4 linked regions of the Lepisosteus oculatus genome follow. The protein of the gene in region 2 interacts with the protein of the main gene of each other region in a pairwise test. Links are inferred from orthologs where the notes say so. Each region holds a gene or a part of one and is shown on either strand. Other genes may lie near its edges.

The links.
Region 1: the proteins of gfap (region 2) and ribc2 interact in a two-hybrid assay, tested with the Homo sapiens proteins (2 studies listed by BioGRID and IntAct). The two-hybrid records come from large-scale screens. The link is inferred for Lepisosteus oculatus from reciprocal best matches to the Homo sapiens genes GFAP and RIBC2.
Region 3: the proteins of gfap (region 2) and cwf19l2 interact in binary tests that used the Homo sapiens proteins (3 or more experiments, as listed by UniProt). The link is inferred for Lepisosteus oculatus from reciprocal best matches to the Homo sapiens genes GFAP and CWF19L2.
Region 4: the proteins of gfap (region 2) and zinc finger C2HC domain-containing protein 1C interact in binary tests that used the Homo sapiens proteins (3 or more experiments, as listed by UniProt). The link is inferred for Lepisosteus oculatus from reciprocal best matches to the Homo sapiens genes GFAP and ZC2HC1C.

What each region holds. Positions count from the first base shown.
Region 1 is NC_090702.1:9,010,369-9,017,963, reverse strand, and holds the start of ribc2 (RIB43A-like with coiled-coils protein 2), read left to right. Parts: upstream 1-4,500; 5' UTR 4,501-4,602; coding exon 4,603-4,719; intron 4,720-5,835; coding exon 5,836-5,917; intron 5,918-7,339; coding exon 7,340-7,595. UniProt on the Homo sapiens protein: Microtubule inner protein (MIP) part of the dynein-decorated doublet microtubules (DMTs) in cilia axoneme, which is required for motile cilia beating.
Region 2 is NC_090723.1:1,941,565-1,949,229, reverse strand, and holds the start of gfap (glial fibrillary acidic protein), read right to left. Parts: upstream 3,007-7,665; 5' UTR 2,895-3,006; coding exon 2,389-2,894; intron 1-2,388.
Region 3 is NC_090700.1:10,207,752-10,215,987, reverse strand, and holds the start of cwf19l2 (CWF19-like protein 2), read right to left. Parts: upstream 3,078-8,236; 5' UTR 3,044-3,077; coding exon 2,951-3,043; intron 1-2,950. Other genes in the region: alkbh8 (alkylated DNA repair protein alkB homolog 8), read right to left, coding at 4,463-4,996, 5,731-5,880, 7,411-7,676.
Region 4 is NC_090703.1:8,490,366-8,498,551, reverse strand, and holds the start of zinc finger C2HC domain-containing protein 1C, read left to right. Parts: upstream 1-5,151; 5' UTR 5,152-5,628; intron 5,629-6,225; 5' UTR 6,226-6,310; coding exon 6,311-7,783; intron 7,784-8,186. Other genes in the region: DNA mismatch repair protein Mlh3, read right to left, coding at 1-1,835; acyp1 (acylphosphatase-1), read right to left, coding at 3,256-3,474, 4,437-4,529, 4,896-4,940.

The sequences.
Region 1 (7,595 bases), on a different chromosome or scaffold from region 2:
TTGAAGGACGATCTTTTGATTGAACAGGGTAAGTGTTGTTTGCAATGCTTTCAACTTGCTTTGAAGCCATCAGAACCATAGCCTGTTGTGAAAAAAAAAACACTGTGGCTTCATGACTTGGTAAATGCATGCTGATTGAGCAGTAAAACAACATAATTTGTTGGCAAAACCATGTGGATGCTGCACAGTGGTGGTGGTGGAGGGGAGTCCCCATTACCTGTAAAGCGCTTTGAGTGGAGTGTCTAGAAAAGCACTATAAAAGTGTAAGCTATTATTATTATTAATGGTGTAGAAACATCCGGGGCTCCCAAAAGCATTGAATTCTCCTTTGGTAAAGTGGAATTTACTATTGTTGGAAGGTGCTCAGGGATTGGAGTATGTCCAAAACTGAATGGAGATTAAGTCTTGGCTGAGAGTGAGATGTGCATACCAATGTGGTCACCAAGTGACATTGGCCATTTGACTTGAGAGGGAGACTCAATTTATTTGTCAAATCCTGTAATAAACTAATTGTGGGGAAATCAGGTGACCAGTGTGCTGGGATAGCAGCCCAGAACTAGAGCTTCTGCTAAGTGCTTTTCCTTTGTTTTTGTCATCCTTGTGCTGTTTTTCCATTAGAACACATCAACAAAAATGATTATTTGACTGTTGTTTCCCCAGCTGAGAAAAAAGACTGTGATTCTCCTGGAAAAGGAGACAAGTGGTAGCCACACTGCTGGAGCAGTCAACAGAACAGTACTTACAGCTTGTAAAAACTGAGATGGTGGCAATGAGCTGAATCAATTCTAATGTAGGTTCAACACACAAAACAAGAAAAGCACTTGGGCCCGACTTTATTCCAACAGCTACACTGAAATCTTGTGCCAGTCAACTTCCTCCTGTTTTTACAGATCTACCTTACAATCTCTCTCGTAAGCAGGCAAAGGTACCGCACAGTTTTAAGATGACTAGTATATTACCGGTACTTAAGAAATCCATTGTGAACTCCATCAATGACTGCAGACCAGTAGTCTTGACATCTGTCATTATGAAGGTGTTTGAGCAGCTCATAGTTTCCTGTCCAGTGCACACTTGGACCCATGTCAGTTTGCCTAAACAGCAAACAAGTCAGTGGATTGTGCAGTCTCTCGGGGCTCCATGATGTATTTCAACACCTAGCAGCACCCAGCACATATACCTGGATCCTATTTATTGATTATAGTTCTGCTTTTAACACAATCACCCTTCTTAAGCTTTTTGATAAGCTAGAAGAGATACTGTAGGTATTAACCAGACTCTGAGTTATTGGCTACTGGTGTAGGAAGCTGTTGGTGAAGCTGAAGGATACTATCTCTCAGCAAATCAACCGGAGCACAGGAGTTCCTCAAGGTTGTATCTTATCATCTCTCAGCATCTCTCATCTCTCATCTATCATCACAGCAATGAACACTTTTCACATATTCCTGTCTTTAGATCATCACACAGGGTGTTATTGTCAGATCCCATACAGATAAACTCCATAGTTCACCCTTTATATTCTAAATTATACAGGTTGACATTTTCAAGTGTATGAGGTTTGGGAAACTGACTTCTTCTGAAACATTGGCTGTATTGGGAATATCTATATCCCTGTATCTTCCTGGGAGACATGAGAAATAGGAGACATGAGAAAGTTTCCTGGGTTTGTTAGCCTTCCTCTGTAAAGTTATTTAATTTTTACCCTGATTCTGGCCTTCTTCAGCTTGAAATTATACAGTACAGCTTGAAATGATACAGCAAAGGTATACTAACTTTGAGAACAGTTAATTTCAGAAGCATATTAATATGGCTATTTTTTCCATATTTATGAAAAATCAGCCACAGTTTGTGTGGGTTATGTGATGCCAAGCTACAGTATATATTAAAGTGATATTGTGCTGGAGAGCATATGGCCAAATTAATACAACATCAGGGGTGCGCAGTTTGTTGTTTTTCTACTTTTTGGAACAAGTAACTCAGACTGTCCATCACTATTAAATCTACTCTGACAGTTCTTTTGTTAAAATTTGATATAGCTATGTGATAAATAATTATACACAGTATGAAGATAACAACTCCCAGTCTCGGCCTCAGTTACAATTTTACATTATTTTTGGTGCTCTATCAAGGTCTAAAATTAATAGGTGCTTTTATTTCTTTTTTAGTTCTATGATTCCTCTCTCACACCCTTCAGTGCATTGAGAAATGTCTCAACATGGTAGAGCTGGGTAGGCAGAGGGCTAAGCTCTGCCAAACATTCTGTTTTTTAACACCTTTGATTTACAAACACGGGTGCAGTCTTGTCACTAGACAAGACAAGACAAGATATACAGTATCTAGTTGTCCCCTTGCAGATAATGTTGTCATCCCACTTAAACTTAAATGTTTATTCTAGCATTCAACTTATATATTATAGACTAAAATTGGCCCCAGTCTTACACAACTAAATATGATTGGTATTTGCTCAAAAATGTGGTCGCAAAATTCCAGAAAACACAGGATTCCTACTATTTTCTATAACCACAAACTTTTCTTTCTCTTTTTCACTCTGGGTTGAAAAGATGTTTATTATTCTAGCAGACATTTTTAATGAGAATTCCTTCCAGATCCTGCAATCTCAATAAAAGCTACACGCTTACTCTTTCTTTTTTCTTGCATCTTCATTCTGCTATGCATGGCTCTAGTACCCCCTGCACAGTGAAGCTGTCTACACACCTAACCTATAATCTACTGGTACAAAAGAAAGGAATTGGTTTACTCTGCTTTTTCTGTAGATTTTTCATTCCAACTCTTACTAATATGGAACAAGAACTTTAATTCTTTAGATCAGGAAATTAATTGGGACATTATAAATATAGCTTTCAACATTCATCCATCCATTTTCTAACTATTTTATCTAATACAGAGTTGTGGGGTTTTGGGGGGTGCCTAACTCAAGCAACAGGCAGAAGGATTGATACAACCTGGATGGGGCCCCAGTCCATCACAGGGCACATACAGATACAGAGACTCACACACTCACACCAGGGCCAATTTTCCCAGAAGCCATCAGTATGTCTTTAGGCTGTGAGAGGGAACTAGAGCTGGAAGAAAGCTACGGAAACATGGAGAGAACATACAAACTCTACACCTACGGCATCCCAGGAATGGAACTCAGGTCCCTAGAGCTGTGAGACAGCAATGCTTAAGCACTGTGCCAGCATGAAGCCCCAGCTTTAAAAATCCTAATAATGAAATTATCGTCTTCAGGCATTGTATTTGACCCATTGTTCACCACATCTTCCCCATATGGTCCTTTGTTTATTGTCTGTCCAGAGGACATTGTAAGCACTATTTGGAAATAGTTCAGGTGGGTAGCTGCGTCAGCATGCGTAGGCTGCAAAGGAACAAGTAATAGGTTTATTCCATGCTGAAAAAAAGAAGAAAGAGAACACAACATTTCGGTCGTGGAGCCTTCTTCAGGTGTGAGAGAGACAGGGCAGTAGGCAAAGGTTACGACCACTCTAATCTCTCCGTCTGTGTTCTCAAATACAGTTTTCCGAACTCATACATCAGAAAGACCACCGAAACTAAAATTATTCTGCAGCTAGGATCACACATTCTCCCTTCTCTTAACAACAGACTACTGTTCTTTTAAATGTTCTCCATTCATTGGAAGTTTCATTTCACACCTCTCTGCACCCATTCTCACTTCACACCTCTTGATTGGCCTCTCTTTCTGTTCCCTGCTCCCGCCTCTCACTCCTCCTCCCTCCCAACCTTTGTTCTCCCGCTACTTTACCTTTGCCTACTGTTCTGTCTCTCTCACACCTGAAAAAGGCTCCACGGCCGAAACGTTGTGTTCTCTTTCTTCTTTTTTTCAGCATGGAATAAACCTATTACTTGTTCCACTATTTGGAAATGTCGAGATGTTTTGAAAAACAGTTATTGTTTTCCACATTTCTAAACAAACATACAGTATGCTTTGCTTTATAGTACTCTAGATAGTTTACAGTACTCCTTAAGTTATAGTACAATAACTTTGATCTTGTCTCTCAGAAATAAAACTTATTTGGTTGGCGGGTCACTCACCACGGTTTAAAAAAAGGACACAATGTCTTCCCTCTCCTCTTCTGGAGTCAACTTTAGTAGTTTTCTACTACTTATATCAAAGGTGATAGGGAAGACAGTACAGGCTTGGAGTGCTTTAGCTGTCGTGATTTAATTATTATTGCACAGGGCTTCTACCATGGCTGCATAACTATGAAATTGTTTATAATTACGCATTTGTTAAAAGCTGAAAACTTACATGTGCTCTATTTTATTTGTAAAGTCTTATCATACGACATTTGGAAATGTTTATTTTATAACTCAAATATACTGTATATTGTCCACTCATCTTAAAACTATGCTGCAGTATTCTGGTTATTAACCCGTACAAGGATGACAAAATACAGTAAACACCAGGGGGAGCTCACCACCCACGCTGAAACTCGAGGCTCGTTTCCTAGCAACCAGCCTGTGTACAGTAGTCGCGGGAGAGTACACGGAGACCAACACACACACACAAATTCTGTGCGAACTTCATGCAGTAAGCAGAAGTGCAAAAAATTAATAGAAACTGAGATGTACAAACTGGAACTGCCAGCGGATCGTACTCAAGCCGCTCACCTCGAGAGGAGACGAAACGCAGATGTTCAACGGCAAGATAGGATTTTCAACGCTAAAGTCAGAACGATTGGAGTAAGGGGCTCTATATGTTCTATACTAGATGTCTTGAATTTTTAACAGTTTATTTTCGCAATACGTGAATGATTGATATCCTGTAGATCAAAAATTATTCAGCACACAAAATAATGTAACGATTAGATTGAGTTTGATTTCTTATAAATGTTTTTTCTGTTTCCTTCTTAAGCTTGAATATGTATGAACAAATTTACATCTGTATTTTTAAATTACATATACTGTACATAACCCAGCGATTCCCAACATCAACCGCTTCTACCCACAAAAGGTGTAACTTTATAGTTATTTTCACACTTGTTTTCAGTGCTGTATCATTAGTGTTGCAACAACGGAAATCTACTTATTTAATGTTTTATACTTGAATATCGTTATCTAATAAACGAGATTTGTATCGTGTTATTATCACGATTTTTTATTTTCTAATTGTTCACCGTATTGTGCATTGACAACGTATTATACAGTATAATGATACATTAACTCTCCTCAGGAACATGTCTGTATCTGCTTCATCTGCTCATTTCAATGGCACTTCTAACCGCTTGTCTTTCTTATATGTTTTTACTTTGTAACCTGTGGTCCTACTGTTTCTACACCTACTGTTTCTACTTGAGATTTTACTTTCAAAGGTGCTACTGTACATAAAATAACGTTTTTTTGTAATTATTGTTATAGAGGAACATGATCAGATTTTCCCTGGTTCAGAAAAAAAAGATCTGAAGTATACTGGTTTATCACTGTTCTCACACCCTCTTTGGTAAATGGCTTTGCATACTAATCTGATCAAATCTACCTACAGATCCAGCAATTCAAAATGCATGGAGTACGCCGCGTTAAAACGCGGTAGGCGTGGCACATCGTACCGCATTTTAAATGAATTATGATAATAGTATCTAGACATTTATCAGAAATGTTTCATATTGCAGAAATGACCTTGGACTAGCACAACAATCCATCTGGATCGTCTTATATTGGTGGAGAGCATTTCGATAAAATCAGATCATTCTACTTTATTCAACGTAGAATAACTGATATTTTCTTTAATACTTAACACAATTTAGTGCCAGTCTGCCTGTGCAATGCCTTTTCTCAGTTCCTTCATTTTGAAATATCTAGGTGGATAAAGAAGCATTAGATTTCCAAGTGAAGGAAAAGAACATAAAAGAAGACAAAGAAGCTAGGATACTGAAGGCCTACGGTGAGTACAGGTTTCTGACATGACAATGTAAAAATATTAAGTCTGCAGCTGGTGTGGTGGCGCAGTGGTTAGCGTTGCTTCCTCACAGAACTGGGCCCTCTGTTCAATTCTTGGGGTGCTGCTGTCTGTGTGGAGTTTGTATGTTCTCCCCATGTACTCATGAGCTTTTGCTCTGGACATATTGGTAGGTTGATTGGCTGCTGGGGAAAATGGCCCTGGTGTGAGTGTGTGCTTGTGTGTGTCATTATGTGCCCTGCAATGGACTGGAGTCCAGTCCTGGGTGTAGCCTGTTGCTTTTCAGGTGTGGCTTCTGCTCCCCCACAGCCCTGTGTTAGGGAATATTAATGAGGACCCTATGCAGAAAAACCAGGACGAACTCCAGAGGCGTAGTTGATTTAACAGTCTGAGGTCCGAAAGCAGAAGGTAAACAAGCCGGTGCAAAAGTAAAAAATCAGAAGCGGAGCTGTAAGCCGCGAGGAAGCCGAGAGTCGAAGCCAGAACAATACTCAAAGTAGCAAAACAAAACCAAGAGACGTAGACTAACCGGGGTCAGGAAGCCAAAAACTAAGAAGTAATTAATTGGGAGAATTGAAGTAGCTCTAGCCAGGAAAAACCTGACTACTGAGCACAGGGGAGAGTATGAAGCAGCATTAAATTGGTTGGGGTAAATGGGCTAATTGGGAACCGTGCGGGAATGCGAGGTGGAATGACGAATCCTCCGGGGGCGTGGCGTAACACCCTGCATTCGAAAAAGTGGTAAACTAAGAGAACAAGAGTGCAGAAATGTGCAAAAAAAAAAAGGAATTTATAAAAAGAGGAAGTAAGAAGTCTGTAATGTTATTTTTTTATTTTTATGTGAAGGATCCCATGCCTTGTTAGGAGTTTACAATGAAGTGTTTAAGAATTGTTGGATTGTTTGGCACATTTCAGGCCAGCCAAGGTCTCTTAAATGCAGATGCACTGTAATTCATGTATCCTACACTCAAGTTTAGAAGGGAAGAGGGGTCTTGGTTTATTGCCACGACTGACCTGAGCTAACTGCCTGACTCTCTGACCATGTTTACATCTTATAAGGCAACAAACTGTTACTGACCAATCATAAAAATGTATTAGATTTTGCTCATCTTCAACAACAAAAGCCTGTTGTTCTGTTTGAAAAAGCGAGTTAGGGACGAGGTTATAACCTGTTAAATTTGCCTGTCCTCCTTTCTTTATTGCAATAAAGAAATCATGATTTGATTCAGTAGAACTGTGTGTGGTTTTCATTGTGGGTTCTAACATACAGTATGCAAGATCTTTAATACAGATCTTCAATGCTCCAGCATGCAGGGAACTTACATTTGTAAAAGCAGATATCTTGAAAAGAAAAAATGGGTGAACCTACACTCAGAGTTATTAATGCCTTTATGTTTATTCCTTAAGCCGAAGACCTCATCTGCGCTGACAAGGTGGCCTGTTTGCTGGAGCAAAGGCAGAAAACGGATGTGAGAAAGCTGTGCAGGGCCACTGATGAGTTCCGGCACAGCTATCAGAAGCCGGAGGACAGGCGGGAGTTCAATCTGAATGACCCCGAGCAGCTGAAGAAGGAAGCTGCAGGAGACGGCTCGGGCCAGAGGCTGCAGGGGCTGCTGGGAGAGGACCTGACCCAGAAGGAGAGGCGCCGCAGCCAGCAGGAGCA
Region 2 (7,665 bases):
TAAATTAGGCAGAGGTGTGGGATGAACTGTGGTCTCAGTTTTCCATTGTTTTCCATGGTGTTTTGGAGGAAGGAGGTTGAGCTGGAAAGGGATCTGGAGATGCTTCATAGTGTCTATACTGTACTGTTGTTTAACTGACAAATGGCAGAAGAGCTTTTCTCACCTTGTGCAAATAACCTCAAGGAAAGGAATTCTTTGGATGACAACAGTCAAATGTTTGCTTATCTGGCAAAAAGAGGCTAACTACTTTTATTTTTCATGTGCATTTGTCAAATGTTTATCTTAGCATTGCTGTTTGCACTGTGGGACTCTCAGTGCCATTTACAGACACGACTTACCTTCATCTCCTCTATATTGGTAAAGCAGGTTATAGAACTGAACCAAGCTGACTACCAATCCATTATGGGAGTAAAAAAGGAGCAATTAATATAGATTAATTAATCACTTCAAAGGGAAAAAATAAATACAAGGAAAAGAATAATAGTGCATTAAACAGGTCTGATTGTGTGACATGAGGATGAGATGGATTTCACTAATAATGGTGGGAAAGCATGCATGAACCCATCACAGCTATTACTCATCAAGAGCAAAGCTTTTCTTTAAGTACTGGCATGAATGCAAGAGTTCGTGCAGCTGTCACTTCAAGCAAGGCTGAAAAGAGGAATTTAATTCACAGTCAGGCTCTTTGTGGGGCCCAGTGAAAAGCCTATGTACATAATAAAATGTAGGGGGCTCCTTCACTCGACTGTTCTCCAAACGACTTCATATTGCGAAATTCAAGCAGCTACAGTAATGGGCCATCAGGTTTATTTGCTAGTAAACTCAAGGCTATAAATCCGTACATTTCAGGCTTCATGCAGCTTAGTGATCCAAGTGGATAAATTTATAACTTTACAGGTTATTATAATATAATAAAAGCGGCATGACTGATTCCATCTCCTCAGATCCCTGATAGGTGCACAGTCACAGGTAATGTTGTTAATTTTATTTTTTCTTGAGAAAACTGTCGCAAATGACTATGATTTATGACTCTAGCCCTGTTTAGGTAACCTTAGTTCACTTCACCTTTAGACAGCAAATCCATACCACTGAATAAGCTAACAGTGGTTTGAAGGTTTTAAGATCTGTATAACCGTCACAAATATGATATCTATCTGCAAACCCCATCTTACCAGAAATCTCTAGTTTAGCACAGTTTAATTGATGACAATAAAACCCTTTTTCAATAGTTTGAGGACACCAGCCTTCAGTATGAAGAATACCAAAATCAGTGGAATCAAAATATCCTACATTCCAACTGCTTTGAATGTCAGTTGAACACAAAACATTTCCAGCAGCACCACATCTGTGATGTAAAACTGAAAAAGTTTTTAATTCCACCCTAGTTCTTCTGCCCTGCTGTGTCACACTAATTTTGCATCTACAAATGCAGGCACTGGCACTCACAACACAAACACACTCTCACGCTCGGTGTTCACTCTGGCTTGTAAGGATAAGATTTAGTCAGCAGACATCATCTTTCCAGGGCAATTTCCAAAACTGTACTCTGAATTCCTTTCTGTTCTGAATGTCCTAGTAAAACCAGCTCAAATCTATACTGCATATGATAATACTATATAGGATGCTGTTTTATTTTGTGCATAGATTTAGAAGAATTTTATTTGAAGAACACAAGCAAAATAATTTATAAACATTTAAGTTATAAATATTCCTGTCCTGGAGAGCACAAAAAAACTTTCTGAAAAACTCCTAATTATTTTGCGTGTACAGGCTCTAGCAAGAGGAGACATCAGTTTTGCCTGACACTAAGCATACTCTCAGACACGACGACACGTAGGAAAATCAGCAGCACTGAATGGGGCATAACTCCTCTACTGGATTCTTTGCATTTTAAATTTGGGACATATTTTATAACTCTGTCACTACATTATAAAAGATTTAAAGAGTATTGCTCTCCAACCCATCCAACAGGTTCTCCTTGGTGACTTTATTCTATAGTTTACGAGTTCCCCATTGTTCTTAACCTAGGCTACACTCTATTGCACATTGCAATATACCAGCTCATTGTTAAGGGATATTGACTATACTGTACGTTTTTAAATCATGTCTTAAAGTATATTTTCAATTCCTGGCACACACTTATAGATCTACTTTTGATCTATACTTGTGGGCCAATTTATAAGGCCCTTTGAGACATGGCTAATGAATTATCCTGCCTGAACTGGAGACAGTTATTCTATCTCTTGTAGTAGCTGGACTCCAGATTTAGGCTTTTGCTTGTGGCACCAAAGCGATCCTTGGAGCCGCCGTACTGTTATTCTCTCCCCGGAATCTGAAAGGACTACGCTCGGGGCTTTGGGAATGCTGATAGGGGAAACTCCAGCTTACTTCTGCTGCAGGTGGGCCAGGTCCTCAGCCAGGTTGTCCCTCTCGATCTCCAGCCTGGCGCGGGTGGTGCTCAGCTGGTCCACCTGCTTGCGCAGCTCGCGCAGCTCGTCCTGGTAGATGTCGCCCAGGCGGGTGGGCTCCTTGCCCCTCAGCTGGTTCAGCTCGGCCACCAGCACCTTGTTCTGCTGCTCCAGGAAGCGCACCTTCTCGATGTAGCTGGCGAAGCGGTCGTTGAGCTCCATCATCTCCACCTTCTCGTTGGTGCGCGTCTCCTTGTACTGGGCTTTGAGCACGGTGTCCAGGGAGAAGTCCAGCTTGTCGGGCGTGAAGGAGCCCAGGACGACTCCACTGCGGCGCGCCGTGACATTGGAGTGCGAGAGCCGGGGAGAGCTGTGGACGGCGAATCGGCCAGAGGACAGGGATGTCCTTCCACCGCTCCCCGACGCCCCAAACCTCTTCCTGTAAGAAGACGCCACCACCCTTTGGGTCTCCATGTTCGTGCTCATGGTGTTCGGTGGAAATGGAACAAGTCAGCAAATGAAATGGTCTCTGTCCCTCTCCGGCTTTTATAGACACTGTCCTCCGCCCCCCCACCCTGAGCAGGAGGGCTTGAGACAGGAGGGGGAGAGAGGCAGGGGGAGGGGGAGCACCACAGCTAGGACTTGCCAGCCATTGTGCTCGTCTACTGAACTTGAAACTCTCCTGGCTTTCTCTCGCTTTCTGCAAGCTGGAGTTTTGGAATGTTATTCAGGAGGGAAAAAAAAAGATAATGAGCGCCTGAAGTACTCCTGTGCACTGTAGGGAACAACTCTGCTGCAGGACTGTGGTTTTCAAAACGGTTTTAATCAGTGTGGCTGCACACTGCGTCCAAGGGATTTACTGGAAATAACACTCACTGGACTCTCGCCGCAGTTTTGTAAAGCACTGCCATCTACAAAACACTTTGCAAGGATTTATTTTATGAAGATTTAAAAAAAAAAGGTGTAGGCAAAGGTGTAGGCACTCTTTTACAATGTCCTTCCTAGTCATAGAACTTATCTACCTTTGTCTGCATGAGGCCAAAGCCAAGAAAAGTAAGATAAAAATCAATTTCACTTTAAGTACAGTATGGCTATAGCTACTGTACATCCTTTAGGATTAATTTAAGAATTAACATTGCCTACTAACCAAGCATAAAGGACATTCTGTGTGTCCATTACGACTATCAAACTACAGTATTCGACTGTCATTGCTTTCACCTTTTAAGCACCTCTCATCTTCCCCTCAGCTGACACAATCTAAATAAATGTCAGTGTTTTCAATTATCTGAGATGTGCGACGACATCACTAGTGTTGTGTTGCTCTTGTGCACTTCAGCTGCCAGTAGCTTTGCACTGGTGTGAGCATGAGTGCGTACAGTAAACTTCTCTTCCACTCGTTAGAAAACTCCATATATCTGTCAGCACTGTAAGACAGTAAAAACTGAGTCCTTCCTTTCTTGGTCATATTGGCATATGACATATTGGCCCTCTAAATAACACAAAGACCTCTGGTCACTATAAAATGGTCTGGGCTTTGGAGTTATCACTGGATCAGCCAAGCACACAAACAGTGTTGAGGGGCTCCTGAAAATGTTTTCTACCAATTGTGTTGTCTCCAGTCAACCTTGCTGCTTACAATGACTTGAATGATTGCTCGGGTGTCACACAGCAATGGGTTACCATCCCATTGAGCGCAACCCTTGTATTCGCAGATCACTTGAGGCTACAAAAACCATTCTAGGCTCAGGGGCTGTGAGCCGCTGGGTCTGTGTTGACGTTCAACCATGGTGCTCACTGAAAGAGAGAGCACAAGAACAATGCGGTCATCGCAAGACTTTCAAACCTGCCCTGAATCTTACTTTTCTCTTGTTCTTCTGAAAGCTGCGATTTGTACATTTTTAAGTCAGCAACATCAAAGCAGCTGTCAAGTTAATTAGCTTCCCTGTTGTAAAATATATATTATTACTATAAGGGAACAAGTAATAGGTTTATTCCATGCTGAAAAAAAGAAGAAACAGAACACAACGTTTCGGCCGTGGAGCCTTCTTCAGGTGTGTCACTATTACTATAATATTATTTATTACAATATCTTATTTATTAATTTAAAAGAATTGCTTATGAAAGGCAGAACTTGTATTTCCAACCAAAAAGAAAAAGAAAAGTTATGCTTGCTGTCCAATTTCAATATGCCAACCTATCAACATTACAAACAGGATTCAAAAAGCAACAATATTGAAGATCTGAGACACATATTCTAATTCCTTCATCACAAACCAGCCCATGTCCTACCTCCGGTTTACAGACCCTGCTGAAGAGCATTAAGTCTCACAACATCTGAACAAAAACATGTTTATGATTCTGATGCAGCTGCTGAATTTTTAATAAATGTTTCTTTACGAGACTATAACAAGATAGATAGATTGGGCAAGTAGTAGAAGGACAAAGAAGTAGTACTTCATATCCTGGTTGGGTGGTTTTACTCTACAGGTCAACTTATTCAGGATGGTAAGAAGACATTAAATGATCTCTTTTGTACCTCCTCCCTCTCGTGTGAATTGGGCCTGAAATTCCAGCATTCACTCCGACAGATTTATCCTTTGCAGAAAGCTCTGGGCTGTGGAGGGCGGGGTTAAGAACTGGGGTAAGATGGGAGATCCATTTAATGACTCTGTGACTTTCGAGTCTTAGAGAAATATGGGGTCCGTTTCGAATTGATTAGCAGCAGTTGTCATAGAAACCTGGGGCCCTTTTCGAAAAAGTGTTTTTCTCTGGGGATTGTGGGACTGAGACAGCATTTTTGGATGATTTATTTTAAAATTTAAAATTTTATAATAAAATTATAAAATATAATCTTTTATAATAAAATATAATCTTACTCACAGAAACCAAAGCTAATTATCTGAACAATACATATAAGATCTTTTCAGTGCAGAAATGAAGCCTAGCATTCAGTGGCTTTCTTAAACTGATTCTTTAATCATAAAAAAGTTATCATAGATCAAGGACAGTGTTTTTCCAGGTTTTAAAGACTTACAGTCCCATCAGGTTTCTAGAACATATCGGTACCTAAATCGGAAAAGTGGATATTTAGAACAATTAACTCGTTAATTGAGTCAATTAATAGATGAATAGAAGAGACTAATTTGAATCAAAACCAGTGGACCATGGATCTCTCCCCGAACACAGGTGTGTATGAATGATGTTAAATTTCCCTTTTCCAATTCAACGTGACTTTGAACAGCTCCATCTTGGCCATCCCTTTATGTCTCTTCCTGTAACCCACCCTCCTCCTCTCCTTTTCTCCTTCAGCTCACCCTAGCAGCTCCTCTGGGAACGTCTGACCAGCCATGAGCTGCCGGAACAGCCCTGAACCGAGCCTCCAGCCCCCTGTCTGTAAACACTCCAAGGACAGACCTCCTGGAAAAGCTTTTATAAGGGTTTTTTAATAATGCCACAGCTCTCATTACAGGGGAACGAGCTTTTCCTTCCCCTTGCATAGGAAGAAAGAAGAGGCATGGGTGAAGGGAGAAAGAGGTATTGTTCATCTTGCTGTGCGTGAGCGATGTAGTCTGTCCCTGTGAAGGCATGGAGTTCAGGGGGGCCCACACTGTCTTAATGGGGGTTATTAATCCTCAGGCCCCTATCAAATTGAACTGCATGACTGCTTTCTCTTCCATAGACTACTAGGCCTCCTTTTTGTAATGAGAAAGTTCCCATAAAAGAGTGGGATAAAAAAATGGAGACAACCTTCCAATTTATGCTTCTCCTCAAACCCTGTCCCTCATAGCCTGTTCAGTTTAAGACACTTATCCAAGAAAGAATGGCTTTCAGGAAACATGGGAATGTTATACATTTGCCAATTCTTTTGCTGTTAACAATTATGTATCTATTTGCCATGATAAACAGTGCGGAAAACTATGTTATTGATGTGTGAATTCAGGATTTCACACTTACAGTAAAAATAAATAAAATACACATTTGAGCTGTGGAGCCATCCAGACATAGCTCCCTGCTCTAATATATACTGATAATAAAACTAATATTACTGTCTGCACAATTCCTGCTTTGAACTGGACTTAGATTCATGGCAGTGAATTTTCATGTTTCATGAAATTTCTTGATCATGGAGCTGTTCTTGTCTAATTGCTTCCAGTAGGTTTATAGATTGCTGGCTGATTTAACCGGATATTTTCCACAGCCTGTCACTCAAGGTCAGCAGGGAGGTCAGGGATCAAAGTCAGCACACAGTGTCACAGGCATGGTTACCCGAATCTTACCCCTGAGAAAACATTTTAAAAGATGGATCAGATATGGGTGTAATTGTGCAGAACATTCTCCTTTTAAAAAGGCTAATACGGCACCTGTAGAAGTGCTCTTCCTAGTATCAGTAACGACGTGGTGTCATTTAATAGAAAGAGTTGATCAGGGTCTACAATGAACTAATGGGACTTGTCTTCATGCACTAGCTGTATAAGAGCAGAAAACCGATCTCCGTGGGCTTGAATGTTAGGACACCTGGGAATAAAAGAAGATGGCTCAGTTTCTTCCAGTAGATCCAAACATCGTTGACTACAACATGGTTGTAAAGTTGGTTCCTCACACCTACGTTTTTTTTATGAAAAGCAGAGCCCCGCTTGCTTTGAATCAACCAGTTGTTAACATCCAGTTCGCGCCTGGCTTTGTGACAAACTGGCAAGCCCCCCACTCAGTGACCAATGAGAAAGCTCTTTGTCAGTCTGACCAAACAGCCCACTAGTGCTACTCTGTACAGAGACCAAGAGACGCTACTTTTTATTGTATTTCTTTGTTTTGTTGTGTTCTGTTTTTTTTAAAGAAGGAGAGGACAAAGACAGCAAACAAACTGAAATTAATCCTCTTGTTAATTGAAGTTAAATAAGAGGGACTTCTTTAACACTCCACTAATTTGTTTTTTAAAGCCCTGCCTCCACACACACAACATACGATGAAGTCTCATTATTATTTTCACACAAATCCTACAAACCAAGGATTTTTCAGGGTGCTACAGTCGTTGCCTCAGATCTAGTCACTCTGGTAATTCCTCAAGGTGGAAAAAACATTTGGATGGGAGAGTCCTGGAGACGTGCCTTGGGAGAAAGTGAGTAGTCATACATCTCTAATCAGGGGCAATTAAATGTTTTTATTTGCTTCTGTTTTGAAGGGAGTCTAAGAAGCCTCCTCTTGCCCCAAATCTAGAGCTGGCTAAGTCTAATGGCTGATTCATGGCCTTATCCAACAA
Region 3 (8,236 bases), on a different chromosome or scaffold from region 2:
CAGACTCAATATGCGCAGAAAAAAATACACTGAAAATTCCTGGTGGATCTCATCTTTTGTAACAGAGCCAAATAAAATGATCTGCTTTATTTATTTAAATTTAATATTTTAATGTCTTGCATCTACTTGATAGATAATGATAAGAATACTTACTCTAACAGCTTTCCACCTGAAAATCAACCTTTCCTTGTACTTCATGGTTACTGACAGAATTATCTTGTTAAAGAGTGTTTCCTTTTGAGACATACATATGACATAATGTAACAAATGCAGTAATCAGGAGTGTAACGCAGCTCCTGAGGCAGGGCCTATGGAAATGTCTAACACTTAGTGACACATTTTTAAGTGCTCACACAGAAGAGTGGGACATCATACAGCTAAAGATAAAGATAAACATCAGATAAAGATCCAATACATGCAGACAAAGAGGCACTCCAATGCCTCTGGAAATGAAGATGCTGCGATGGACCCTCGGCTGTAGAAGACTAGACCATGTCATGAATGAAGGGGCGCGATAAACACTCACTGAGAAAATGAGGGAATCGCGCCTGCGACGGTATGGACACGTGCTCTGCAGCAATGACACATCAATGGCAAAGACCGCCCTCGAATTGAATGCGGAAGGCCGCCGGCCTCATGGACAACCTTAACGCGCTGGCTGGACTGGCTGAAAGACGACATGGGCCTCGCAAAAGTCTCCTGCCGAGACGCCGCAGACCGTACGAAGTGGAAAAATCGGTGCAAACAAGCAGACCCCACATAAGTGGGAAAATGTGAGGAAGAAGAAGAAGAATACATGCAGACAAAGATTACATACTTTTGACTCACCTGGGTGACATGCGGCAGCCATCTCACACCAGCAGCCCCACTACACCGATCAGACATAGCAGTGAGAAATTGTTCAAGACTGAATTAAGAACTTTAGGTAGGCCAGACTGGACAGACCCATAGCAGAACTTAGTCAGGAACCAGGAATCAACATCCCTTCTCAAACAGCACTGTGGCACCTTTAATGGTCAAGTAGTTTTGTAACAGAGCCAAATAAATTGATCTGCTTTATTCAGGGTTTAAGGTTTAGGGTCTCATTCAGAAAATAACACCTCCTGCAGCATGGTGGAGGACTCCATACTGCAGCATTGATCAAGAAACTTTGGAAAGGGAAGAGCACCACCTACTGGTCCACCAACCAAGCTACTGCTGTGAATGCTGTTTTCTCATTTTATACGGACCAGACCAAGACCTGTATTCTGAGATCTGTTGAGATAAGGTAACTCGGCCCAACTATAAAAGGTAATTTAATTAAAAAGCCACTCGCCAAGAAACGTGGTAATTTACCTTAACAAATACCGTATTTTCCAATAAGGTTTATTTAAAAAAAACGATTTTTCTTATTAAATTGATTGTTTCTTTGTTACCACCAAATCAGACATGTGGTCAAACGTCAGAAAGGTTCAGGCAATTCACCTTGTCATTCAAACAAGCAACAGGTCTTTGAAACTCTAGTTCTGCATATACTGTACGAACTTGCTAGCATACCTTAAATTGTTATGGTATTTGCATAACACATTAACATTCTTAAAGCTTTAATTTTCGTCCAAGAAGCTTATGTTCCTAGGCGTCTGCAAAGCACTAGGGAAAAAAAAAACCTCGCCTTTGAATTTGCACCATGCCGAATGCAAATTATTAAGTATTGATCATGATTTGAGAAGACGGGGGGAAAAGTAAAGCTCAACACGTCAGATAGAAGCAAAGGATTTCAACACACTGTTCTGAGGCATGGTTTATTCAAAAACCAAGGCTTGTTTTGCCTTTGCTTCTGAGCTACAGGCGGTGTTTGGACAAACTGCTGACGCACAAATAGGCTTCTGCGCATCTTTTCCTTCCTGCAGCGGCGCGTAATGCGTCTTATCACCAGCGTTCAGCATTTGGTTTTGGACTCTCCAGCCAAGTAATTAAAGTGACTGATGACAGCAAGGCAGTTGTGCTGATAAGGTTTATGATACTTATTTTTGTTCAGCATATGCGATACAAATTTTCATTACAAGAGCCCACGAAAGAAGGAAACCGTTCCACCTCGCATAGCGCAGTTGAACATTCCTTAAGATAAATTATCGGGTGCAATGTTGCTATACCTATTATCACGCCGTTACAATGCCTAAATAATTCAAGTTTCTATTTTTAATTTTATCTTCTGTGTAAGACTAATAACTATCCAAAACTGGCGCATACATTGATTTTAATGTAGAATAGTAATACCCTAAACTTCCTGAAGAACTAAAGGAGATGCTTTCAGTATCTGCTTCGGTGCCAAGGACAGAATAAATAATGAATTCGCTCACAATAATTTATTTAAAACGTCTGAATAGTTCCTTTCCAGAAAATATGGAAAAGAAAATTACCCTAAGAGACATGTACATAAGCTACAGACGACATCGTTCACTGCAGGTGCGATATCTCCACCTTGTGGTTTCGCTGTTATATGACGCGAGTAAAAAATCAATTTCCCTCTGCCCCGCACATACAAGAGCTAGTTATATAGTATAACGTGCCAGAGGAAATTGGTGATAAAAAGAACTAGGAACCGCTACACCAGTTTATAGTTCAGCTAATATGACTCATCAAGAACTTTGTCTGACAAGAAGTTACCAATTAAATACAGTACAACAGGCAACAGAAGTGCAGAAATGACATTACTGATAGTTGTCTTGAAATATTCCATATCCCGTTTCTTTCAAAGCATAAAATCACTTCCTCGAAACTGCATATACTCTATAATCCTTATTTGCTTACGCGTACGTGTAAAGATTTTAAGTATTTCAGTATTAACGATTATTCAGTAAATACGGCAAGAGTATTCATATTAAGCACAGATGTATAAGTTCCCACCCTTCTTGGAACACGGAGTAAGCAATCTTCACAAACAGTAATTTTCATCGAAACTCACACCTACCTTCTTCAGAATGTCTTCTCTTGCCTTCCTTTTCAACTCTTTCTTCTCATTGAGGCTGTTGGCACTTTCAAAACTACCACCGTACGCCGCCATGACGATGCCGCAAACCGAGCGGCCGGTTAATCCAAGGCCTTTTAAACGGTCGTAAATACATTACGACAGTTGAAGCCGCAACAGTACATAACGCACAGCTGCCCAGAAGTTATTATATACATAAAATGAAGTGGTCTGGGAAGAACCCTTTGAGCATTTTAAAATGGGTGTAAGGGAGTGTTCGCAGCAAAAATATGAAAGCGGTGCGGACGTTATTTTTATTTAATTTGTTTAATCTTTTTTCATAACTTGAATTTATGTTGTAATATGTACCCCTGACGATCTTTTTGTCTTGAGATGTTATATGTGCTCGTTTGTATTTTAATTTGTGTTATTCTGTTATGCATAAATTAAAAAAAACAGCTGCCCAGAAGTCAATCTACGGCAATAACTGTACAGTATTTGTTTTGTGATTACGTCATTGGATTTAGAAGGGTGCGATAGAAGGTGTAGCGAACATTGTTTTTATTATGCCAGAGGTCATTTTTTATTGCACTTGTGATTTTGGAATCTGTTCATACAATGGTCTTGGGTCAAAATGAAAAATCTGCCATATGACTTGATTATGTCATATGTGAAATTATAAACCTTTCAGGAAATGGGAGGTGGTGTGGACAGACCTCATGCAAAGGCTAAAGATCAGCTCGGATCGTTATTTAATAAAATCCGGAGTTGTTACTAGAAAGTCTAGCCATGTTAAAACAGTACAATTCATACACGTCATTGCTTCACTTTGTAATTGTGCACAAGAAGATCTGCTGTTAATATTCAAACAATCCTGGGCAGGTCTCTGTGCTGGGAAACATGCAGCCAAATATTCTAGTGCCAAAAATTTGTCCCAGCTTTTGATCAAAGGCCTATTACCCATTAATAATAACGCAGATGACTGGTGCAGTTTAGGACATAGTTTCACCTGAGACATCACAATAGTAAAAAAGAGTATAGTATACATTGCATTTTGAGATTTGTAAAATCAATAAAAAACTAAATACGAACTTACTGTAGAACAAATGTAAAAGCAATTAAGAAACTGCTGCTATGCGTCAATTCTACGTTTTCAAAGTACAGAACATATAAGTCTAGCAATGCATAGGGAAATGGTATTCAGCAAGCCATATTAAAATTGAGACATCAGAGGTAAAGATCTTAAGCAACTGCATATTAAAGCACAAATGCTAAGGTTTAAACTCATCAAGCTTTCAAAATAACACATCGAACCTCGGAGTCCGTAGTATGATATCCTTTCCAAAAATGGTGCTTCCTGATAAGTAAAAATCTTTTTGCAGAACTTTTATTTTCATTAAATAAAATACATTACATTGAATTACTTCATTGCATTTTGAATTACTCGATAACGGCCATCATAAAAATCACACTAAAATCTTTCTTTTTGGCTTCCTTAATATCACATTTAAAAAATCATTCACTTTTCTTCTCTAATATTACACACCAGTTCCCTTGATCATAGTAACTGGTCTGGATTGCAATGTTCTCCACTTCTCCACACAAGCTCTCCAACTCCTCTTCACAGAAGACGTGGTAATAGCGGTGAAAGATGGGGCAGATATCTGCAGATCCTAATGATTTTCCCACGTTTTTGTCCCTGGGAGCAGAGCTTTTCAGATGCCAGGGGACAAGCAGGTCCTGGGAATGGAACGCAGTTCTGTTGGTGTGAACGCTCAATGTTGACATGTTTTGCCGAGTCAAAGGACAATCTTTGACCTCCTTCCCAGCAGGCCTGTGGTTTGATGCCAAAGAGGTGCTGTGTCCTAGGTGGTCCGCTGTTTGCTCAGGTCTTTGCGCAGAGCCCTCTTCTTGATTCACCTTTTTCCCCTTCAAGTATTTGGACTTCTGCTTGTTATATTCCTGCTCCATTGCCCAAACATAAATAAGTGCCTTTCCCCCAGGCCTCAAAAGCCTCACAAGTTCTTTAATGGCAGCTAGTCTTCTCTCCTAAACATGAAACACAATTAGTAAGCTCAGTGAATAATTACATTTTTCTGCTCTGTTCTTTTTTAATAGCCAATACAAAGTAAGCCCAGGGGAGCCCTAGGTAGGGTAGGTACATTGCAGAATTGTTTAATGCAGAGTGAAGAGGTGGCAGTGTTCCACGCCCCAAACTCCAAAGTTCTCCCTAATACCTGTAACTGCAGTGGAGATTAGCCAGGTTGTATGGTTTTCCAGTGAGTATTCTAAAGCATTCTGTTGATTGAGTACTGAGTATTCTAAAATACTATAAGGTAACACCAAAACACTTTCGTGCTTCACAAGCCTGTCCATTTCAATGGCTTTAGAAGAAATAAACTTTAAAAACAGTGAATACCTTTTTATTAACTTTAAATACCTTTTTATGTCTATCCTTTTATTCCAGAGACTAAAGCTGAAGTTAGATGTAACTTTTCTCTTCAGAAAAGGTGTGGTTTGGGAAAAGATTAGATACAGTAGGCAAACTAAGGCTTCGACTTGTTTTCTTCTTGAACTGTACTGAATATCTCCTACCTAATGAAAAAATGCAGCCTACTGCTTTATCTGAGATCCTCACTGATCTTCAGCTGTTTTTGTAGCACTCTCCTGCTAGCCTTTTTTCATCAAGTGAAATTTCCTATGAAAAGAATAACTAGGAGAACCATCCAGAGCCGTTGTGTCCTGCCTGCTCTAGGTAAGAAGAACCATGAGTGTCTGCTGACCTTAGTGGAGAAGTGGTGAATGACGGCGATGGAGATACAGGCATCACAAATGCCACTGCGAAGAGGCACCTCAAGAGCATCTGACACCAGGACCTGGAAGCTCCTCTCTCCGCAGATATCCACCAGGTTCCTGCTGCGATCACAGCCCACCTGCGAAAACACAGGAGGGGGGCAGCGGGGCATCAACAGCAGCAAGGGCCAGGAGCCATGTCAGAAAGGGATGAGCAGACTGCACCCACCCCGACACAACCAGGGCCATCTCAGTCCCCATCCAGACAGCCAGTAGCCTTTATAAAAACCACCACAAAGGGGTTTCTCAAAAAGCAGCATCACACTGCGTCCCAGAAGATTCGGATCGGATCCTGTCTGCAGCCACCTCTGTGACTCTTGAACAAACAGTGACATCCTTTGAAGGTCGCTGAAAACACACGTAATGTGTCTGTGTTATGCAGAGTTTAAGTCAAGGGGTGTTATTGTGGGCCTTTCTCCGTGAGCATATCATCTTTTTATATTTTGTGGCAGTATTTTTTATTTTGACACGTAAAGTATCTTATTTACGTTTTCCAAATGCGTTTTGAGGTAACATTTGAAATATTTAAAAATGTGTTATCTCATGCATAATTCAACAATGCACCAGTTACAAGCAAAGAAAAAAAAACATTTTGGGGCACTATGAGGAGTGTACACCTTTAAAAGGTAAAGGCAATGACAATAGCTATCCCCACACATTATTCTGGCTAATTTTTAATAAGACATGATTTACACCAATAAATCAATATCTGCTTTACTGCTTGAAAGACACAGTAAAAGGCAAATAAAAACAGAAATTTACAGAGGATGCCATGTTTGGTGCTCAAATATAAAAAAAACTTATAATTTACGATAATATTTTCTTTTAAAAAGTGTCTTCCACAGTTAGGGGTTCTTTTGCACAAAAATAAAGCCTGCAGCTTGCAACATTATCTTATCCAAACAGACGAAAGGTCAAAATTATCATGGAAAGACAATTATGAGCTATGAGCTAGGGCTTTGTCACTTACAGAAATTGTGTTACACATTTTGTTCGACCTATCCTAAAAAAATGCTTTCCTCCATAGTTGTATAACAAATACATCAAACAGTACCGTTTTTAACAGCCAGTACATCATACTTTCCTTTCCAATACAGATTTTAATATAATATGGAATTGAATCAAAAAGCAAAGTGTTATATAATACACTTGGTTTTCTGCATATAAACATGATCTTATCTAAAAGACAGAATACTTAGGACATATTCAAAGCTGTAATCTTTCATCTGTTTATCTTTTTTTTTTAAAGATGTGTACTTCAGGAGCCCACTGTCTCCCTATACCATAAGGGGACGAGCAAGGACACTGCAAATAATTTGGATTATCAGAACGTTAATACTAATCAATGTGCAGATTGTAACTTTTATGCACTTACAAATGCTACTTTATATTCTTTTCTAAATGAAGATGATAGTCTTTCAGCTCAGCTCGATGGTTTGTTCCAAACGAAACCTCACGAAGTAGTAATATATATGCTTTGGCGACAATGAGGAGAACAGAGCTGGGTCAACAACCCGTGTAATTCACTCAAATCATACAGCTCGTTAACACAGAGTAGAGGGGCTTTCCGTAAAGTATCATTAAAACTGCAGATCTACGGACTGTCTTACCGCAAACAGGTCCTGTTTTAACCCCAGGTACTTTCCATTCCCACAGCCTACGTCTGCCAGGATGGCGCCAGTGGGCAGAGACTGGAGGAAGTCTACCACCCTGGGCCAGGGGGAGTGCCGGGTGCTGCTGAAATGGCTGGCGATCTCCTCGTACACCTTGTGTACAAACTCGTTCTCCAGGCAGGAGGCGTCGCGGTCGCTCTGAGGGACAGAGGGGCTGCTGGGATCCCCAGGAGAGCTCTGACTGTCGCAGACCGAGGGGAAGGCTGCGCAACAAGACGCCAACAAATCAAAACATTCCGCGCCGTGCTCCAGTGTCAACACCCTGACTTACAAACAGAAGTAAAAGAGTATTGTAGAACACGTGTCGTATTTACATCTCTCCTTTTTGTCATTGCCAGCAGCCATATCACCCTGCAACTCACAACTGGAAACCCACTGAAGCTAAGCAGGCATAAGCCTGGTCAGTACCTGGAGGGGAGACCTCCTGGGAAAAACTAAGGTTGCTGCTGGAAGAGGTGTTACTGGGGCCAGCAGGGGGTGTTCAACTGGCGGTCTGTGTGGGTCCTAATGCCCCAGTATAGTGACGAGGACACTATACTGTAAACAGGTGCCGTCCTTCGGATGAGACGTAAAACCGAGGTCCTGACTCTCTGGTCATTAAAAATCCCAGGGTGTTTCTCGAAAAGAGTAGGGGTGTAACCCCGGCATCCTGGCCAAATTTCCCATTGGGCCTTACCAATCAAGGCCTCCTAATAATCCCCCTATGAATTGGCTTCATTACTCTGCTCTCCTCCCCACTAATAGCTGATGTGGGGTGAGCGTT
Region 4 (8,186 bases), on a different chromosome or scaffold from region 2:
ATGAACCCTGTTGAACCCAGCTGAAACTGCACTGATCTAGAATCATTTGCTCTTTCTGTTTTATGTCCCAGGCTACTTCTGTCAAATGGTGTTTCTTCTTGGAATTTGGGAGGCATTTCAGGGGGCACATCCCTGGAAATGACACTTTCTGTGTTTTTCTCAGGTTCTTTGCGATTGTCTATCAAGTTAAGGCAGTGATTCTCAGGTTCCTTTGCTGTTTTTGTATTTACACTGAGTTTTGCTCTTTTGCTATTGGAGCACAGAGAGACAGAAAGCCCCAGCTGTGCTACACCACTGCACTCTTCCTTCAAGTCCCTGTCAGAAACGTCCGTCAAAGATTCATCATCTCTTCTGGCTTCTGTCGGTGTGTTAGGTGTCACTGATGCAGAGCCAAGCATTTCAGTGATTTTGATTTCTTTGCTTTCTGAACTTGAGGAGGTGACTTTGTGTGAGTCAGGGGAAGCAAGTGTTTTTTCACTTTCTGGGGGGCATGTGGATTCGGGGTTCCTAATTTCTGTTTCACCTTGACCTGCTGTGTCATCTTCATCTCCTGCCTGCCAGACACTTCCTGTCAGATTGAAATCCACTGCCAATGCTCTGTGCACATCTTTAGACTGCAGAGTCTTCCCCTCACCTGGGTCCCTAGTACAGCTTGAAGCGGGTTTAAGACTGCCAGCGCCAGGCCCTCCTTCAGTACTGTCGGCCCAGGCCGATGGGTCATTGAAGGTGTTCTCATGGACAAATTCACTCATGTCCTCAGGAGACACCTCAGCCACCAAGTTCTCCTTCACCAGGAACTTTTTGACTCCTTCTTCCACGCAGAGCAACACACCATCCCAGTCCCGAAACTCAATGAGTGTTTTTGCAGGCTCCATGCACACATCGTACTCTGAATAATGGCACTTAATATTAATGACATAAACCCCATGGAGCTCTGAACCACCCCTCTGCTTTGGACTGTGCACAGCGATGGACACAACGGGGATGCTGTTCTGCCTGCTGGCAACTCTCACCTTCTTTAGTAAGAAATTTAGGAGTTTATGAATCCGCGTTCTCAAGACTAGTCTGCTGTTTACGTAGAGAAACTGCATGCTGTTGTTGTAGTGACCCTCACGCCCTATGTGGCCACTCATTTCAAACTGGTTGTGGCAATGACTGATCTCCCCAAGCTTCTGAGCTCTGCCCAGTCCGTGAATCTGGGTGAACCTATAGTACGTGGCCCGCGACTTGGAGAGCTGGAGCACCGTGCATCCGGTGGAGTCATTTCTCAGAGAGAAGGAGACGGAGGGGTGCATGAGGGAGACTGCTTCGATCCTCTGCCTGATCCGCTCGCATTCCAGAACCGGGTCGAGCCTTTTCCTCCTCACGGGCAGATTGTGGAAGACGTCGCAGGCCACCACCGTCGTGCCGGCTGCGGGCCGGGTGGTTGCTGCCTCGGACACATCTAAGCCCCTCCCGTTCTTGAACACTTTCACGAAGGTCTTCACGGACTCTGGGGTCCTTGACGAGACCTCCAGCAGGGTGGCTAAGCCGGCTATGCTTGCCAGTGCCTCCCCTCGGAATCCGTAAAACCGCAGGGCTTCCAGATCATCCAGAGAGCCGCACTTGCTGGTGAAGTACCTGTTGCCCACCTGCTCCAGGTCTTGCCTGTCCATCCCAGAGCCATTGTCCAGAACCTGCACTTTTCCCGCCTCAATGTCCACTCTCACAGCCACGCAGCTGGCCCCAGCGTCGATGCTGTTGAGCAGGAGCTCCTCCACACACTGCGTCAGTGAGAAAATGGCTATCCCAGAGCGAAGCTTCGCCTGCACGTCCTCGGACAAACGTCTAATCATAGTTCTGACGCTATCGGAAACCTAAACCGCCTCTTTGCTGTAAAAATTATCTCAGCAAGCGCTCCTAGGCCCGTCAGACATTTCTGCACATTTAAGAGGAATTCGGAGCTCCGTCCTAATGGGACTTTTCTGCAAATAAATACTTCCAACACATTTTACTTAACTCCCGGTCTAATAAATTTTACATTCTACATCAAGGGTGCCGTTTCATAACAGTTTCTACTGTCGCCATCTACTATAATTTGAGATTCCCGGCTGCCGCCGGGAACAATCGCAGACTGACAGCTTCAACCCTCTTATCATGTTGGGAACTATTCTTTTAACAATGACGGTTTAAAAAAAAAGTTAAAAAATAACATTCTGACGAGTTTGATAAACAAAACTACGCACTACGGTGCTGGACAAAACGCACGCTAAAACCTATTATCCAACCATTCAAAACTACTACTCTACTTTTGAAAGAGGGGGAAGAAAAACGGTGCTATAATTATCTTAGGGGAAACGACATTCAGCCGTGACATCGACAAGACCGTATTTCAACTTTGTTCTTCTTCATATTTAAAAAAATAATTTACACTGACTTTTTTCTAGCTGAATGTCCTTCCAAAGTGTCCGTTTCCATGGCTTCCGGTTACTATGGTGATGCGCGAATTAAAAGCAGCATTCGTGGACAGTGAAATGCAGGCCATCTCTAATTTCACTCTAATTTCTAACATTCACAGAGCAAGAGCAATCCTAATCCATCCTGCGTGGTATTGTTTGTATGTCTTCACATCCGCATCCGGGCCCGAGCGTTTGTGTTCAGCTCTTTGCTGCCCCTACCGCAAGAAATACAAATTTCGAGTCTCAGGGTTTTTTTTTAATTATCGGTATCCATTTCTTATGTACGGTTTACCTTACCAAAATAAAATTCATAATATAACATATTTGAACAGTTTTTGACGTTTCGGACATAAACGTATTGAGAAATATCTCGAAAGACTCAATTTTGTAATGATGCATATTTTATTGACCAATTGTTGAGTTGATGATTACATCTCAAAAATAAACATAGGGCTAGCGTATTTTTTACAAAGTACCGTCATTAAGCTGCCCTCTCAGTAACTATATTAACAAAATTAAACAGTACACAAATGGTTCTTCAAAATAAATAGGGATTTAATAAACACACAGAGGGAACGTAGAATGTTCAAAACATCCTCAAGCACTTATGTACAAGATTCAGATTTGGAGACGGTATGCGTATTTAGCAGTTTAAGCCTTCACTGATGTTATCTGCAGTACATTTACAAAAAAGCATTCCAACACAGTGACATCTTGAAACCAAATGACCAAACATCTTGATTCTAGGAAGATGTTTATGCCTTTTTTTTAAATAATAATAAAAAAGAAAACAGAAAAACACATCACATTTGGGAGGTTAGGGCCGGACGATCCTGAAATCCTTGTGATCCAGACTCTCCACTTTCTTCTCGTTGGAGAACTCCGCCTTGGCGATCTGGGACTTGGGGCTGCCTTTCTTCCTCAGCCACTCCTGCATCTCTCGCACCCTGCTGCCGGGTCCCTGGAGCTGGCCTCTCACTGTCCCTTCCCTGGTGTTCTGCACCCAGCCTGTCAAGCCCAGCCTCTTGCCCTCAGCCTGGGGGAAGGGCAGCCACACAGAAATACAGCACACTCCTGCTACCGGACCGGCTGATCTGAGATTGTGCGCGCACGGAGACCCAGGGCTGTCGAACCCAGCTCCAGGTTCCATACCTAATTCTCAGCGACTGATTACTTCATTAACTGGGAAAGAGAGTGGTTCTATCCTGTACACATTCTGTACTTTGACTTGGGTACTGTTAATTTCTCAGCTCGGCACAAACACTACACAATGCCCACATGTGCCACAAAATATTTAAATGATAGTCATCGAGAAGCAACAGCAAAACACAACATATATGTATAGCATGCATACAAAGAGATTGCAATCTCACATGCACATTTATAGCAGACGGCTGTTCTGTGGTTGCTATGGCAACTCACTAAGAGTGCCCAATAGGAAGTATATACTGTACTGCCACATAGGGAAGCACAACTGAATGATAGCTGTCCACGCATTTTCAATGTCTTCATCCAAGACAGGGCTGGAGAACAGCCAATGAGGTCAAGACCAGATACATCCTAGACAAGCTGCCAGTCCTGAGCAGGAGGTATGTGTATACACACAAACTCGGAGGATGATTTCCATACTCCAAAAAATCTGGACAGGATAGATAAATCTGTACTGTGGGGGGAAACAGGAGTCCCAGGGTGAAAACCCAGCAATGGGCAGAACATGCAAACCGGGCACAGGCATACTGGGCAGGAAGCAAGCCGAGGGCTCAGGAAGTGTGGGGCAGCACTGTTAACTGCATTGCCACCGTCACACCCATCCTTAAAGGGCTTTACATTCCCAGGACAATCATGCCTGTGCTGCCTCAAGCCTCATTTTCATTTTCCTGTGTTGGGTGGGCGAATGAAATCCGAGTTTCCGATCGCCGAATTTAACTAGATGTTCTATAATTGAGAAGCTGGTATTAGTCATAAATAAACACACACAAATAAAGGAAAGGGCTCTACCTGAGTGTACTTTCGGAAAAAAACACCCTGCACTCTGCCATAGATTTCATAATCCACTGAAATCAGATCTTCTTTACCGGACATGGCAGAGACCTAGACAAAATAATGTAAAAACACAGCGTCAGGAACAGTAGAAGTACATTTTAAATATTTCAGCGTGGACTGAAGTCTTTCCAGATCAACTTTTATTTTGCATTTTGCGTTCGAAATAAAAAAAAAACAAACTTGTTTTTTCAAAACTAAAAGGATGTTTGAATTCTATATCGCTCTTAAATATCAGGGGGCAGAGCTCATTAGGGGCATTATATCCGAAGCTTCGTCTTCATCCCAGATCAACTAAACGCTAGCATATTCATCATATGTCTCAATCTATTATCCAACATAATTAAACATTAGATATAGCCTCATGATTTGCCCGAGCTATCCCTGCACATTGGAGACGAAACATCATATACTCACATTACGATAAATAGCAACCACGAAAGACAAATCACGCACACACATTAAAATATCACTAACCAGTATTAAAAACACCCATACGACAAATGTGTGTATGTATAGCGCATCTCTTTCAAAACGAAGGGCTTAATCCAGACCGGTACATCCGGGGCATCTCACAACTTCCGGATGACTTTCCACGTGGTTTGTCTGCGCCCAATCACAAACAGAGCCCCTTGACAACTGAATGTTACGATGCCAAGGAACCCCGTGGCGTCTCCCGGTTTCCAGGCAACGCATGCCAACAAACCCTATTGTTAAACTCTTACCGGAGAATACCCTCTGATGACCGACCTGCGAGGACAAAGGGCTCGCCTACTGTGACGCTGGGGGTGATGTTGTGAAGGGCATCACTTTAGCTCGGGGAAAAACTCGTCACTCTCTGTGCCTTTGCAGGCTTGGTGACTGTATTTCAAGGGGAGACTGTAAAGTTTCATAAAACCATACGAGGGGGGATTTTCTCCTACTTTTTTTTTGTAAAAAGCGCTGTTTAAAGTCGGCTTTCTATAACAGTTTTAACTGCAGGTTTAAGATACCAGTGAACAAACCCAAAAAGTTAAGGAGAGAAAGAAAACCCTGCCACGCAAGTGTTTATTCATGCTTTTCAAAGGACGCCAGATCGTGACAAACTCCCCAGAGCTCTGACGAAGGATTAGAGCAGAAATCTGTCGACAAAACCAAAGAAAGTTTTTTGGTGAGTAAATTATGATGAACTAGCACGTTTTTTTGGACTGTCGTGTAAGTAAATATATAATGTGTCATATACAGTGACTTCTGAATTATTTATAAGGTTTTGCCCAGAAATATATGTTGTTTTTTCCTCTTCCACGTCTGCAGCCGAAGAAATGTTGAATGAACGACCAGTGTCACGTCTCACTCGGGGATGCTGGGAAATAAATACAAACGAATTTCATTGGCCACGGGGGTGATTTATGATCAAAACTGAATATAGATTTCCAGTTGAAAATAACGGGCATAATGCTTGCGTTGCATCCAGCCTGCGTTTTAAGCTTAAAACTCAGTGTGCAACATTTAGTCGTTTTATAGTCTTTAGGAGAATCTGCAAACAGGATAATTACATTGTAACACAAATGGTTCTTCTGCCAGAAGGACAGCTACCTCATTTTTATAGTTTCTTAAAAGTATGATGCATGTATTGTTGTTTGAGGTGAAGAAAATGTTTAATATGTAATATAATTTTTTTTTGTGTATGTGGTTTTTTCAAGAATAGGCCTTTTCCTGTATTCACTGTAGGTATACATTAATATCATTACATTTCACTCCCAATCAGACACTTGGAAGAAAATAACCTGCCTGTCTCCTCTGCAAATGGTACCACATCTTAGACCTCGAGCTCCCCCTTCCTCGGTAAAAAGATGCAAACCGATAAACTTCCACCCCTGAGGCCCGGTGGACGGAACCCAGCTCTGCACCCGTCCAAGTTACAGCTGCTGCAGAGCAACTTCCAGCAGAAACTTGGGGAGGAGAAGGAGAAGAAGCTGATCGCTCTGTACCGGCAGCAACAGCAGGCCGTGCTGCAGAAAGCCAGGATTGGTTCCCAGCACGACCAGCAGTCTGCATTGCAAACCATGGCGAACAACAGGGGTGGAACTGGCCTGCACAGGGAACATAGATCTGCTGGGAATCTGCCCAGAAATGGCCATCTCCATCACGTTGCCCCTGGAAAGAAGACAGCTGGGGTGGATAGGTCCTGCCCACTGAAGCCTGTGTACCACAGGAAAGCCTTCAGTCTCAATCACATCTTCAGTCCAGGTGATGTTGAGGCTGTGAAGCCTATAGGAGCACCGAGGAATATCCCAGTGGCTCCTTCTCTGCCTGCAGATCACCCAGAAGGGAGTCATTTGCAAGTGGACAGGAGACACCCTAGAGCACGAATCCCCAGGGATAAGACATCCCCTCTAGATGTGGCCCACTCCCCAGATGAAAACTCCTCCAGGGTGAATTTAAGTGGTCTCCACTGGCTGCAAGGGGAACAACGAAGACTAGCAGAGGTAGAGGCCAACCTGGCGGAAGAGATAAGGAGGAAGGAGCTCCTGCTCAGGGCAAAACTGAAAAGGACCGAGGAAGAGCTGAGGAGGATTCAGATAGAGATGGAAGATTCTGACGAAGAGGAGGAGTGGGAGGAGAGAGGAAAAATGGCCCAGCAAAGGAGAGCTCAGGAGAGACAGCACGATGGTGCTCCAAAAGGGCACCTGGGCAGTGCCAGTGGCAGGGGTGTGCCTGCAGAGCCCTATAGTTCCTCAAGACACTCAGTTCAGGACAAGCAACCGGTCGATGCAAGAAGAAAAACTCAAGTCCTGCCTCTTATTGAAAATAACACAGAGCTTCACACTCAATCTCTGCTCAATCACTCAAGTTCTGCTCCATCACACTTCAAGAAACATGAAAAGGCCTCTAACGCCGGCCAGTCACAGGATGTGCCCTACAGATATGAAACACACGTCAGGAATCGAGGGAAGCATGCCGAACCAATTCCTCTGGACAGCCGCATTCCACAAGCAAGCTATGAAATGAGCAATGGAAATTGTGCTGAAGAAAGGCTGCCTCAGGGGAGCGGAGACTTATCACCAAGACGTTTTCCACTCTCTGTCGAAGAAGCACCCCAGGCGGAGCAGAGACCGACGTACAATCAGGAAGGGAACTCGCAGCTGTTGCCCTGCACGCTCTGCAACAGGACATTTGCAGCAGAAAGATTGGAGAAACACCGTAGAGTCTGTGAGAAAATGCAGAATTCCCGCCGGAAGGTGTTTGACTCTTCCAAGCACAGAGCCAAGGGAACCGACCTGGAGCAATACATCAACTTAAAGAAGAAAAGTACAACGCCAGAGGTAGGAAGTGACTTTAGAATTCCTTCCCACAAATAAAACGAATGTGTGAATATGATTGTTACCCAATCCAGAACATAAAGCAGCCCTTAAAGATCCTCCGAGTGTGGCAAAGGGGTTCCAGGAATCAGAGGTTTTCCCCAGGCAGTCTAGTAGTGTGTAAAACCTTACACAGTGGGTCTGTTCACCAGCAGGTTTGGCTTTTAAATCATAGTAACAAATAGCACCATTTTGGCAAACAGTTGCTTATGCATAAATTTGGGTTCCTTACAAGAAGGGATTTATTGAAAAAGTGTCCCCCAACCAGAAAAGGCTGAAAACCCCTGACATAAGAACTCAAGGAAAACCTAGGAAATGAGAGGAGGCCATTGGGCCTCTCTAGCTCATATGATAATCAATAACTAAT